3 linked regions of the Drosophila melanogaster genome follow. The protein of the gene in region 1 interacts with the protein of each later gene in a pairwise test. Each region holds a gene or a part of one and is shown in the gene's direction. Other genes may lie near its edges.

The links. Proteins that work in one complex are often made in the same cells at the same time.
Region 2: the proteins of glob1 (region 1) and CG13081 interact in a two-hybrid assay, tested with the Drosophila melanogaster proteins (one large-scale study listed by BioGRID).
Region 3: the proteins of glob1 (region 1) and sala interact in a two-hybrid assay, tested with the Drosophila melanogaster proteins (one large-scale study listed by BioGRID).

The regions. Positions count from the first base shown.
Region 1 is NT_033777.3:15,901,611-15,906,378, reverse strand, and holds the start of glob1 (globin 1), read left to right. Parts: upstream 1-1,735; 5' UTR 1,736-1,877; intron 1,878-3,794; exon of another isoform or gene 3,795-3,936; intron 3,937-3,995; exon of another isoform or gene 3,996-4,177; intron 4,178-4,768.
Region 2 is NT_033779.5:19,538,731-19,542,083, forward strand, and holds CG13081 (uncharacterized protein), read left to right. Parts: upstream 1-1,876; 5' UTR 1,877-1,962; coding exon 1,963-2,263; intron 2,264-2,318; coding exon 2,319-2,496; intron 2,497-2,558; coding exon 2,559-2,613; 3' UTR 2,614-2,810; downstream 2,811-3,353. Other genes in the region: CG13082 (uncharacterized protein), read left to right, coding at 1-899.
Region 3 is NT_033779.5:11,482,744-11,487,492, forward strand, and holds sala (spalt-adjacent), read left to right. Parts: upstream 1-1,963; 5' UTR 1,964-2,288; intron 2,289-2,437; 5' UTR 2,438-2,471; coding exon of another isoform or gene 2,472-2,984; 5' UTR 2,985-3,011; exon of another isoform or gene 3,012-3,040; intron 3,041-3,338; 5' UTR 3,339-3,466; coding exon 3,467-3,478; intron 3,479-3,548; coding exon 3,549-3,965; 3' UTR 3,966-4,206; downstream 4,207-4,749. Other genes in the region: CG43355 (uncharacterized protein), read left to right, coding at 2,472-2,984. UniProt on the Drosophila melanogaster protein: Likely to be involved in the establishment of the head.

The DNA.
Region 1 (4,768 bases):
GATTAGTCAAACATTTGTTTTTGCGCCTCTGTTTACTTTCCCGATGCTCGCCGTTTATCTTCAGCCAAAACTCTCGCGTTGATCGAGTTTTATCTGCTCTTTCCGACCAACTACCTTTATGGCTGAAACGATACTGAGCGGGTTTGCCACACTGCGGATCTGGCCGCTCATATGCTTGCTGAACACACAAGTAGTTCCCCCGAAAAATTGGATAACACGCTCTCCCTCTCCAATTATTTTCGTTTTCGGCGCTCTCTGGGGGATCATTGTTGTGGTTTGTTTTCACCTCGCGAGCAGCCTTTTGTTTACTCAGGAGCGGATTCGTTGGGCCCCCATGCCAAATTTCAAGTTTGAGGACATAAATGACAATGTGCAGCATATGGTATAATTTATGCGGCCAGTCAAAGTAGGAAAACAATTAGTTTCCTAAAGAAATAAAGCTAAGCCAAACGAATATAAATAAAATGTAACTGAAAAACTAATATTCTGTTTTACCTTGGATAATCATTTATATTTTAATTCATTTTATAAAAAGGTTTACAATTGAATCAGTCTTTAAACGTGCATGAATGAAACCAATTATTCTTTTCCACAATACTTCTAGTACCTATAGATATTTAAAATTCAATTCATATTTTTGTGGGAACATATGGCACGTGGCAAGCCTACTAATTTTTGGTACTTAAGGAATTTCATCCAAAGTCTCTTTTAATTACTAACATCGTGTCTTGAATCTCTCATCTGGAAGTACTAAACAAATAATTTAATCACGCACTTACTAATTTGTTTGTTTCAGCGAATATAGCGTCATTTGTATTAAAGTCTCGACTGTAATATAATTACTTCCAAATTGGGCTTAAACCATACTGTGTTTAACAAAAAAAACTTCAACAGGAAACTGTGACGTGATTTGAAAAAAAATTGACAATAAATTGTGAACAAAATATTGTATAATTGAACACCTATAATTGCAGTGCGAAATTTTCTTAGGGCTTGATTTTTTTTTAATATCAACAAGATTTTACTCTTATATTGTCTGGACTGCAGTTCCTACAATTAGTTGAAAATAGTCTTTAAAACGTAAATAAAATTAAATACATTGTCGCCAAAGATGGAATGACGAAAACGACATTAACTTTCACAATCTAATACCAAGATATCCATCATGCTATATTTAAATTAACCTTGATCAATAATTATTCAAGGCACGGGAAAACAAATAGCTCGTCACGAAAGGTGTTATTTGTTTGCAGTTTGCTTTTGGATTGGATCCACCTGGTAGAAGAATTTAGTGTACTAAAGGAGAGCTTTACAAATATTGTAATTTGATACATTATGTTTTGGATTAGCATTTGATTTATTCTTCACAGTGAAGCGAATTGTTTGCTTTGTTACAATCATCTAATATTTTCGAATACAATGTTTGCCTTTTTTAAGCTTAGGTATAGGTAAATTTGATTATCAAGGTTAGTTCTTTATACTTAAAGTAATTATGTCTTGTAGTCTAGCCGAAAACTGGATTTTGCTGCTTCTTTTAATCTCCTGACTCCTAAAACTCCGAAGCTTCAAAATTCGGAGCGCGCGTTTTATTGATTCGCTTCGTTCTAATGTTGTGACAAGCAGTCTCAGACAATATTTACCAAATCTTACGAAATGAAAGACCCATACGTATACTTTCACCCAAGTTGACCTCTCTGGATGATAGTGTACGAAGATTATCAGCTCGGAAACTTTTGTAGCTTCGTTTGCTGCGTTTATTTTGTGTCAGTTGTTGTTGCCGCTCGGAAGTCTTTTATAAAGGCCAGTCGGGCTAGAAATTCTATTCAGTTCAAATATTAACGGCGTCGTGTGCAGTTGCCTGGCATTTGATATAAACTGTGAGTGTGAATTGGAAAATAGTGTTCTATCCCATCCATATTTATGCAAATATTTATAGTAGAGTGATTGCATTCGTAAATCGACGTTGCTTACAATTCCCGTTCATATAGTAGCAAAATAAACAATCCGTGTGCGGTGTGATATTTGAATGCAACGCATTTTGTTGGGTATAAATTGGCAGTGCTTGTTTGTTTGTCCGCCACTTGGTTTATTGAAAATTACTGATGGAGGCTTATTAAGGTAGTGATAGTGAATAAACATTTATAAAAATAGTACAGCGCCACGATAAGGCTAAATCTTTCACTTGTGCATGTGATATATTGATAAGAACAAATAGAAGATTATTGTTGAAGTAAAGAATAAACAAATAAACAAAACAACTGAATGGAGTGTTTGAAAAGATTTGTCATATTGCGAATCTTAAACATCGAAATATTAAGAGTCGACCTAACTAGTTTTAAAAATCTTTGAATTTTTTCATTTCTAATACAAAATGTGCTTTCATTTGTTTTGCTGGATTAATTACATAATTATATTTGAAGATAGCTTAGACATCACGACAACAAATATTTGTTTATAGCTCCTAAAGCTTAGATTACATTGCGCATTTGAAGAAAGCCACTGCCCAACGGTTAAGTAAGCTTTTCCTGTTCTAAGCCCAAGCTTTTAAGAGATAGCTTTGTTTTGGGGCCAGCACTTTGACTACGCTCCTTTAAAACGTCGGAAGGTCCACAGGTGTCACTGGAAAATGTTTGATTTGGGCGTGTTGGTTCGACAGGTGTCGTCCCATTTTGAATTTGTTATGAAATGTGACAGCAAATCGGGGGAGTGTCCATAAGTGGGCTCTACGCCTGATCGGAATATCAATTGTTTTGGGCAAATGACACACCTCAAAGCCCCCGTTGAACTACGCCTCTCTCATCTGGAAGTACTAAACAAATAATTTAATCACGCACTTACTAATTTGTTTGTTTCAGCGAATATAGCGTCATTTGTATTAAAGTCTCGACTGTAATATAATTACTTCCAAATTGGGCTTAAACCATACTGTGTTTAACAAAAAAAACTTCAACAGGAAACTGTGACGTGATTTGAAAAAAAATTGACAATAAATTGTGAACAAAATATTGTATAATTGAACACCTATAATTGCAGTGCGAAATTTTCTTAGGGCTTGATTTTTTTTTAATATCAACAAGATTTTACTCTTATATTGTCTGGACTGCAGTTCCTACAATTAGTTGAAAATAGTCTTTAAAACGTAAATAAAATTAAATACATTGTCGCCAAAGATGGAATGACGAAAACGACATTAACTTTCACAATCTAATACCAAGATATCCATCATGCTATATTTAAATTAACCTTGATCAATAATTATTCAAGGCACGGGAAAACAAATAGCTCGTCACGAAAGGTGTTATTTGTTTGCAGTTTGCTTTTGGATTGGATCCACCTGGTAGAAGAATTTAGTGTACTAAAGGAGAGCTTTACAAATATTGTAATTTGATACATTATGTTTTGGATTAGCATTTGATTTATTCTTCACAGTGAAGCGAATTGTTTGCTTTGTTACAATCATCTAATATTTTCGAATACAATGTTTGCCTTTTTTAAGCTTAGGTATAGGTAAATTTGATTATCAAGGTTAGTTCTTTATACTTAAAGTAATTATGTCTTGTAGTCTAGCCGAAAACTGGATTTTGCTGCTTCTTTTAATCTCCTGACTCCTAAAACTCCGAAGCTTCAAAATTCGGAGCGCGCGTTTTATTGATTCGCTTCGTTCTAATGTTGTGACAAGCAGTCTCAGACAATATTTACCAAATCTTACGAAATGAAAGACCCATACGTATACTTTCACCCAAGTTGACCTCTCTGGATGATAGTGTACGAAGATTATCAGCTCGGAAACTTTTGTAGCTTCGTTTGCTGCGTTTATTTTGTGTCAGTTGTTGTTGCCGCTCGGAAGTCTTTTATAAAGGCCAGTCGGGCTAGAAATTCTATTCAGTTCAAATATTAACGGCGTCGTGTGCAGTTGCCTGGCATTTGATATAAACTGTGAGTGTGAATTGGAAAATAGTGTTCTATCCCATCCATATTTATGCAAATATTTATAGTAGAGTGATTGCATTCGTAAATCGACGTTGCTTACAATTCCCGTTCATATAGTAGCAAAATAAACAATCCGTGTGCGGTGTGATATTTGAATGCAACGCATTTTGTTGGGTATAAATTGGCAGTGCTTGTTTGTTTGTCCGCCACTTGGTTTATTGAAAATTACTGATGGAGGCTTATTAAGGTAGTGATAGTGAATAAACATTTATAAAAATAGTACAGCGCCACGATAAGGCTAAATCTTTCACTTGTGCATGTGATATATTGATAAGAACAAATAGAAGATTATTGTTGAAGTAAAGAATAAACAAATAAACAAAACAACTGAATGGAGTGTTTGAAAAGATTTGTCATATTGCGAATCTTAAACATCGAAATATTAAGAGTCGACCTAACTAGTTTTAAAAATCTTTGAATTTTTTCATTTCTAATACAAAATGTGCTTTCATTTGTTTTGCTGGATTAATTACATAATTATATTTGAAGATAGCTTAGACATCACGACAACAAATATTTGTTTATAGCTCCTAAAGCTTAGATTACATTGCGCATTTGAAGAAAGCCACTGCCCAACGGTTAAGTAAGCTTTTCCTGTTCTAAGCCCAAGCTTTTAAGAGATAGCTTTGTTTTGGGGCCAGCACTTTGACTACGCTCCTTTAAAACGTCGGAAGGTCCACAGGTGTCACTGGAAAATGTTTGATTTGGGCGTGTTGGTTCGACAGGTGTCGTCCCATTTTGAATTTGTTATGAAATGTGACAGCAAATCGGGGGAGTG
Region 2 (3,353 bases), on another chromosome or scaffold:
ACGCACTGCGTCGCCGCACAATCACGTATGATCAGCGCCAGGAGGGGCAGTACAACATTCGTGCTGATCTGGAGAACTTCATGATCCTCCTGATTCCACCTGGACCGCAGGAGGGCATCAGCCTGCTGGAGCTACTGGGTCGCGGAAACACCAAGGGCAGTGGATCGCTCAAGCGCAAACATCCCGCGAGGAGCAACTCACTGAAGTCCTTCTACCAGAAAAGTCAGCTGCAGAAGTTGCAGCAGCAACAGAATCAGCGCCAATCCTCGCCAGCGGCGCATCTGCCGGAGTTCATTGAGGGTCGGTCGCCCTATCACGTGGACATCTCAGCCAGCGATCCGGAGCAGGCTCAACGCCTGCAGCGCCAGCAGGTGGACGTGCTGCCTCCGCAACTGATACCCATGCCGCAGCTAATTAAGCCCTTCCACTTGGAGGCGGAACCGGAGTTGATTCAAGCTCTGCCCCCCGTCTCCGCCAGCAGCAGTGCCGGTTCTAATCTCCTCGAGAGCTTCAATCATCCCGGATCGCAGTACTTCCGCAGCTCCCGCTCCTTGAGAGGCGATAGCTATCTGGATACCAATCGCCTGACCGGCGGCGATTATGCCAGTCCGCGCTCCATTAGTGCCCCCATTTACCGCAGCGATCTTGGCAGAGGAGCCAATGGCCTTTACCCCCCCATCGACGCACCCACCTACTTCTCGGACCAATCGCGCTCCTGGCAACTGGACGAGGAACCCACTCGGGCACAAGCGGTGGAACCGGAGATCGTTAGCTTCGATCTGTTGGCCGACGACGACCTGGCCGAGTCCCGAACCCTCCTCCGGGACGGACTGGCGCGCTGCGCTCGCGGAGAACGTCGTGATAGCTACGGCGAATGTCGCCAGATCGAGGGCTATTAAGCGGAGGAGTGAGAACGCCAGACTGCCAGCTTAAATGTTAGTTTCATACATTGCACACTCTAGAATTAAGCCGACGAAATTGTCTTATTAATAAATACGAAAACATAATCGACATTGAGATTAAACTGCTCGTTAGTAGGAGCAAATATGGGAGATGATTTATTTGCGACTAACATTAAGCACCATTACATGGCTAATAACTTTTTGTTAATAGTTAGCTTCAGATTGCAAATCACCTTCTATGTAGATGCTCCAACGGCGGAAGTGGGCACTGGATCTAACGGTTCGAGTTCGGCTTTAATGATGCGCTGAAGGATGAGGCTGGAGTCTGGATAGCCTTCCTGGGGCCATAAAACGGCAATTACTGTCCAGAGCCAAAGGCCAGGTGCTCCATAGTTTGCGATGTACGCGAGATTTATGTGCGAAACCAGTTTGCAGGTGGCTGCCAGCCCCTTCCTGTGGCCAAGTCATTGAACCCGCGCCCAGAACTGCACCCAGACTAGATAACTGAAAGAGATCTAGCTGTGTCTATTGCAGGCGGGGCAATTAGCACTGCCATAAAGATTTTGGACTTCTTTTTGCGGCAAATTGAGGTTATTGGGTTAACTTTTTTTGGAATCATGCTTACAGAGATTGGGTTACTAAACAAATTTAAATTGGCGCAAGATGAGTGAAAATAACTCATCACAATAATAAAAAAAGAAGTTTCTTCTTGAAACTCAATGCGATATCTGCGAACGACAATGGGTTAGATGAGGAGCCGGAGAAGATCGAACACAAGGCAGATAGTTCCTCTCGAATGGAACGGACTTCGAACGTGGCTGCTGGGAAGCATTAGAAATGCGCGGAGCTAAAGATTCCCACAGCAACCTGGCAATGCGGAAGTCTTTGGGCTGATTGGAGGCGGCCATTGAACTGTGTCCATAAATCGGGTTTTCTTGGTCTTCCAGTCTCCAGTTGTGGTCCAGGTGGGCTCGCCTTCACAGCGGCCGAGAACTTGGAATCATTCAACGCACGCCATTGGAGCACATCGGTCCTGCGGTCTTTTCGCTTGGGCAACATCATGTGCAAGTTCACCAACCGGCTGTTTGTGTTCGCCCTGCTGCTTGTGGCACTTGGAAGAATTCTGGCCCAGCCCGTTGGCGGCAAGACTAGGCCAGGGAATTCGAGGAACGTGATCAGCGACTTGCTGGACGTCTTATACGACGACTATTCCGAGAATGGTTTTCAGCGCGAGGACATTCTATACGACCAACGGCAAAAGGGTGGGGAGAACTATCAGTTCAAAGTGGATGGGGTCGTCATCGGAATGGCGCCTCAAATGAGCTCCAGCTTGCTCTACTCCATGGCAGAGTCCTACTTGAGTGAGTACTACTGTAATAGAATCGAATTGCCGACATAACACTAATTCCACGCCAGGTGAAATGTTGTTGCGCCAATCTACACCGGATCCAGATTCAACTCAGATGTACGAGAGGGATCCTGAGACCGACACAGACTCTGGTTCCACCGAGGGCGTAACTAAGATTCCTGAGCTAGCCCAGATTAATTTGGAAAGCAGACAACATCAAATTGTAGCTTCTCAAACTGCCAGCCGGTTAGTACAGCACTAATATGTAATTCTGCTTAGAAACTAATTAAAAGATGGTTTTTGCTCAGATCTCCAACTCAACTGCTCCAATTGCTTAAGATGCTCAAAAGTTCTAAGGCCTAAAATGATATCTTTAGATACTATGACAAGAAATTAGTCCTAAGTTCTTGGAAAATACATAGCAAATAAAATCATTCTTCGAATTTAAATTTCCGTTGATCCCATTGGTGCTGTTCCACTGAACAATATTTAAAAAGTTCAAAATCACTGTACAGTACTTGGTATTTTAAACATCCATCACTTTTCCATTCAAAATATATAAATATTGAAAAGCATGACATACGATGTTTTTTTTTTTTTATTTTAACTTAGTGTGTCAACTATCTTTATAAAAAAAATTAAAATTTTCTGGGAATCCAATAGAAAGCTCAGTCTGGAGATGAATCCTCGAAAGCGGAGCTAATTTGCAAGCAAGACTCGGCATCCAATAGTGGATATCTGCAGATCGTCCGATTTGAGAACTCCGAAATCATATGCTTTTCATTCCTATTTTCTTTAGATCCCGGACAATTGATTTCTGTTTTTTTTCTGTTTTGATTTTCATCATCGATTGATTAATTTCCATGAGGACATTGTTTTCAAAGCTTTTAAGACCGCGAATAAATCCAGTCTCATTCAGTAAAGATTCGTGAAGGCAATTTCGTGTGATATCAAGATATATATGTATATTCGGAAATAATGTTCACGTGAACCTCGCGATTTGGAAGTTCAATCCTTTGAAGGATTGAATGATTAGGACGCCATCCTTTATATGTTTTAGATATAAATATCACCCTTCACCTTCTCCAGTTTGATACCTATCA
Region 3 (4,749 bases), on another chromosome or scaffold:
TATCCTGTCTCGGTCAGATTTTCCAATTTCATCATCATCTTCCATACAGTACAAGTATGCCATTTTGTTTTCCCTTAGCGGCACACAGTGGGTACCAGAATTGTTTTTCACAAAACCTTTTCATATGCACATACATTGTTGTACATACGACAACACCATAAATATATGCTTTAGGAGCATATTCGTATATGAACTAACTTAAACATACGTTACATTTTTGGGCATTATAATAGAACTTGAAGCTCTTGGGATAAAAAATATATAAAAAATTATTTTAAAAAAAAACTTTACTCATTTCTTCTGGTCTCATGAAAAAGCACTTCACGGTTTGAAAATTGTGAAGAGTATATGATGAAAAGCTGACACACGTGCGCTGAAGTTAAATGTATATACCACCAGCCAAAAAAAGCATTATCGCAAATTCACCGAAACTTTTCATAAGTTTGGAGAGCGCTGGGGGAGATCGTGTTCGAGAAAAGGTTTTCCCCGTGGGTTGGGTAAAATGTAAATATCGGTGGTAATGGCCGCCGCCCCAGGAGGTGGAAAAATCAACTGACCAGTAACTTTGGAGCCAACTTTGATGGCATCTTGCGAAAGTTGAAAGTGACTTAAGTGAAATTTCCACCTCAGGCGGCTCAGCAGCAGGACGACCTCGTCCCCTTTTCCATGGATTATCGAGGGGTCACGCCATGAACATGAGTAAAAATTAAATTGATTTTCCTCGGACATTGTTCGGACCTGTTCAGAAACTCGGTGTGCTTTTCTTTTTGGCCCTTCATGGGCTTCTGTCAACCCAATGTATTTTGTCGCATCCCTCGGAAAACTTGAGCTGGGCGAACTCCTTTAACTTGCCTATGTGGCATATTAAATTGGTGCGCAAATAGTTGTGTATTTTATTGACTCACTTTTACAGCTCAGCCAAGAGTATTTCGCATCTGCCCAAATTTTTAGCCAGCAAAATATTAAGTTGAGAGCTTTACCCCTGGAGTCTACCAATGCCGCAATACCATTCCTTTTCTACTCGACTTAAGCGACAATTTCATTTCAATTAAATTATAATTATATCTTCAGTTTGGCCCCATCAAGTTTGAGTCAAACAAAAAGTACAATTTTCATTTTCACCTTTGCGAAAGACGAGGCGGGCGTTGATAATTCCCCAAAATTGTTTGACACTTCAAAGTCATTATGAAGATAGCAATCACCAAACCCTGTTCCTCGGTCCGCTCAACTTTTCTCCAAGGGTCCTGGCATATCTTCACGACATTCACTCCCTGCCACTTCCAAGGCTCAGCAATCCTTCAGCTCCAGCCTGCCCCTCGTCCTTTTGCCACTTTACTCAATCCTAAGATGGGAATTGCCACGTCTGTCTACATACCTACATACCCGCAGCGCTTTTTGATGTAATTTTGGCATAAGCCAAAAAATGTTTCCTTTTCCCGAGATGTCTTTGTCTCCACTTCATTCCCCGGCGAGTGGTTTCCGAATGCGACACGCCCTGACAAATTCATCCGGGGAAAATGAGGAAAATGGCTGAAAATTAAATTTGGAATTAAAATTTTGGCCCTGGGCACATAACTTTATGCCGCTGGATTTTCTTTCCGCCCAGAAGGATTTCCTTACTCAAGGATAAATACTTAAGGCAAGCGTAGGCATAATAATAGCTAAGCAGCTTCTCGGAAATTAAGACGATTTAGTTGTTTAATTCTTTGGTTATCACTAGACTCCACAAATAAAGAGATAGATTGAAAATGTAATTAGATAATCAAATATAATTTTCACAGTTTTAAAGTTTAACAATATTGCTTATTTAAATGGTTGCTTTTCACCTCCGAATTTACTTTTAATCTCATAAGCATTTGAACTTGTAGTATTTTTGGCGGCGATATGTTATCAACAAACAACTCTTCCAAAAATAAACCTATATATTATTTTTTGGCAACCAAATACAATGCCACTCTAAATTGTAAATAACATTTAAGCAGCTGATCCAATTCTTGTGTTCAAAACAACAAAATTCAAAGCAATTAATTGTGCGCTGGTTTTTCTTTTTGCCTTTACTTGTATTAGGAATTATTCTTTAAAATATTTATTGATAGAGAAAAAAATATCCAGACTTATATATATCAATGAATTCGGCCACTGCGTCAACAAATCGAATTCTAACTTGTTTTAGCTATTAAAAGCAACAAATAAATGACGTATTAATAAGTACGCTAAAATAAACCAGTTGCAAAACAAACATTTATTTACTGTATATTGTTTCCATTAAGATAGAAATAGGAAAAAATGTAAGTCAATGAATATATACATAGAAAATATTCTTATCAGCTTACCATATGTATGTACAACGGACGTATAAACATATATAATAATTTTTGCATATAAAAAGATTCAAATGCATCTTGTTCTCAAAAATATTAGTCATACATCTTTTCAGATCGTTGCTCTAAATTCATCTGAGACTCGATCAGATGGGCTGTCGGCGATTTTCTGGAGGAGGACATCACCCACACGGAGGTCCACCTCCCCCTCGTCACCATCATCACCATCGTGGCAGACATGGTGCTGGTGGACGCTGTGGACACGGACACCAGCACCAGCCTTTTCCACCACCGCCTCATCGCCCCCATCGACATGGAAGTCACTTTTGGGAGGGATACGGTCCACCTCCACCACCGCCCCATTATCCACCACCAGGGGGATATCTGTATGGTGGCCACCATTGGCAGGGATATCCTCCTCCGCCACCTCCGCCTCCTTCTTCACACCACCCCCCACCATCTGGATCTCCAGCAGGAGGGTGTCCGCATTGCGGTTGCCCAGGAGGCGGTCCACCTCAAAGTGGATTTCCTGGTACCGAAAGACCTCACAACGAAACCTCAAACGACGATCAGCATGGCAGCTTCCAATCTCCAATTCCCGGTGGCGAAGTTCCTACTGATGAAATACCTGGAAAAAATAAATACGAAATCATTGATATTTAGACAACAGTAGAAAATGTTTCAAAAAAGGTAAAGTCACTATGTTATATCTTGTATCTGAGTAATGTCTTATTAATGATTTTATATTATCCGGATTTTCCTGATCAAAAAAATCGAGTAATGTTATGTTGATAAAAACTTTTCAAATATCAAATAAATAAATATAAATAAACAAATAATTTAAAAACTCCTTTATATTTCCGTCATTTCAATATGGTACTGAATTAGTATTAGTATTCTATTCAATTCCGGATTTTTCTGTTTTTCCATTTTCCCTCTTCCAATAAACTGGTTTATTTTATTTTCCATCGTAACCAGATGTTGACGGCAATACTTTTCTGTGATTTCCTTTTACAGGTAGAGACTCAAACTTAAGTCCCTCAGCCAGGTAGAATACCTTTCAGCTACCTACTTGATATTACCAAATCGTGGTATAAAAATCAAAAAAATATTAGAGCCGCCTCAGTACCGAAACTTCAGCCACGATGAAACTACTGGTGCGTCTTCTACTATAGAAATCTTAACTAACTTAGAAATATTTTTATAATAACAAATTTATAACTATAGATTGCTCTGTTTGCACTGGTGACCGCTGTGAACGCTCAGAATGGATTCGGCCAAGTTGGACAAGGAGGATATGGAGGGCAAGGAGGATTTGGAGGATTCGGAGGAATCGGCGGGCAAGCAGGTTTTGGTGGACAAATAGGATTCACTGGACAGGGTGGAGTTGGTGGCCAGGTGGGAATTGGTCAAGGCGGAGTCCACCCGGGTCAAGGAGGATTCGCTGGACAAGGTTCTCCAAACCAATATCAGCCTGGTTACGGAAGTCCTGTGGGATCTGGCCATTTCCATGGAACTAATCCAGTTGAGTCCGGTCATTTTCACGAAAATCCTCATGAATATCCGGAACATCATGGCGATCATCACCGTGAACATCATGAGCACCATGGACACCACGAACATCATGGACATCATAGACATTAGTACAAATATGAGAATACCCATGACAAAATTAAAGGAATGTAATGCTATAGTTCTCTACCGTAAATTCTTAAGAAACACTTGCTTGTTTCTGAAGTCTCTATTGTATCTAATGTCCAGAATTGATTTGTAAAAGTGATTCTTTATCTAAAACCCCCTTGAGATCCACTATACAACGTGCCTTCTTGAATTTCAGTATCTAAAATGAAAAAAAAAACGGAGTCTCAATAAAAAAGTAAATAAGGAAACGGAACCCTTTACTCTGTCCATTTTGGTTGAGGCATCTATAAATTATTTTGCAGATAGCATACAAGCATATATACCCCACACATCCCATCTCAACTTTTGCAATCGGAGAAAAGGATGCCGTCGACCGCTCCCAAGCGACATTTTCTGACCAAAGCAGCTGACAGAATTGAAAAATAAGCGACGTCCGACTAAAAGGGGGAATGGGGAGGGAATGGTAAAGGGTGGGGTTCAGGTGGGTGGGGGCTGAAGGTGAAAAATAAAAAATGGCGTCCAGTCGAGTGCTCAACCTCAAGATTTATAACGAAGGAAAAAAAATAGAGTCGAGGTGAGGGTGGGAAAAAAGAGCACACGTTAAAATAATGCAAAAGCTGAAGAAAACTAAAAAAAATGTGCGGGAAAAACTGCCACCCACACGGCCAAGGAAAGAGTGAGAAGGAAAACCGCACACACACTGATGCGCGCAACAACGGAAATGGAAAGGATAAAATTAATTTTTCTCCTTTATTGCCATTTACTTCACCTGCTGCTGCTGCTGCTG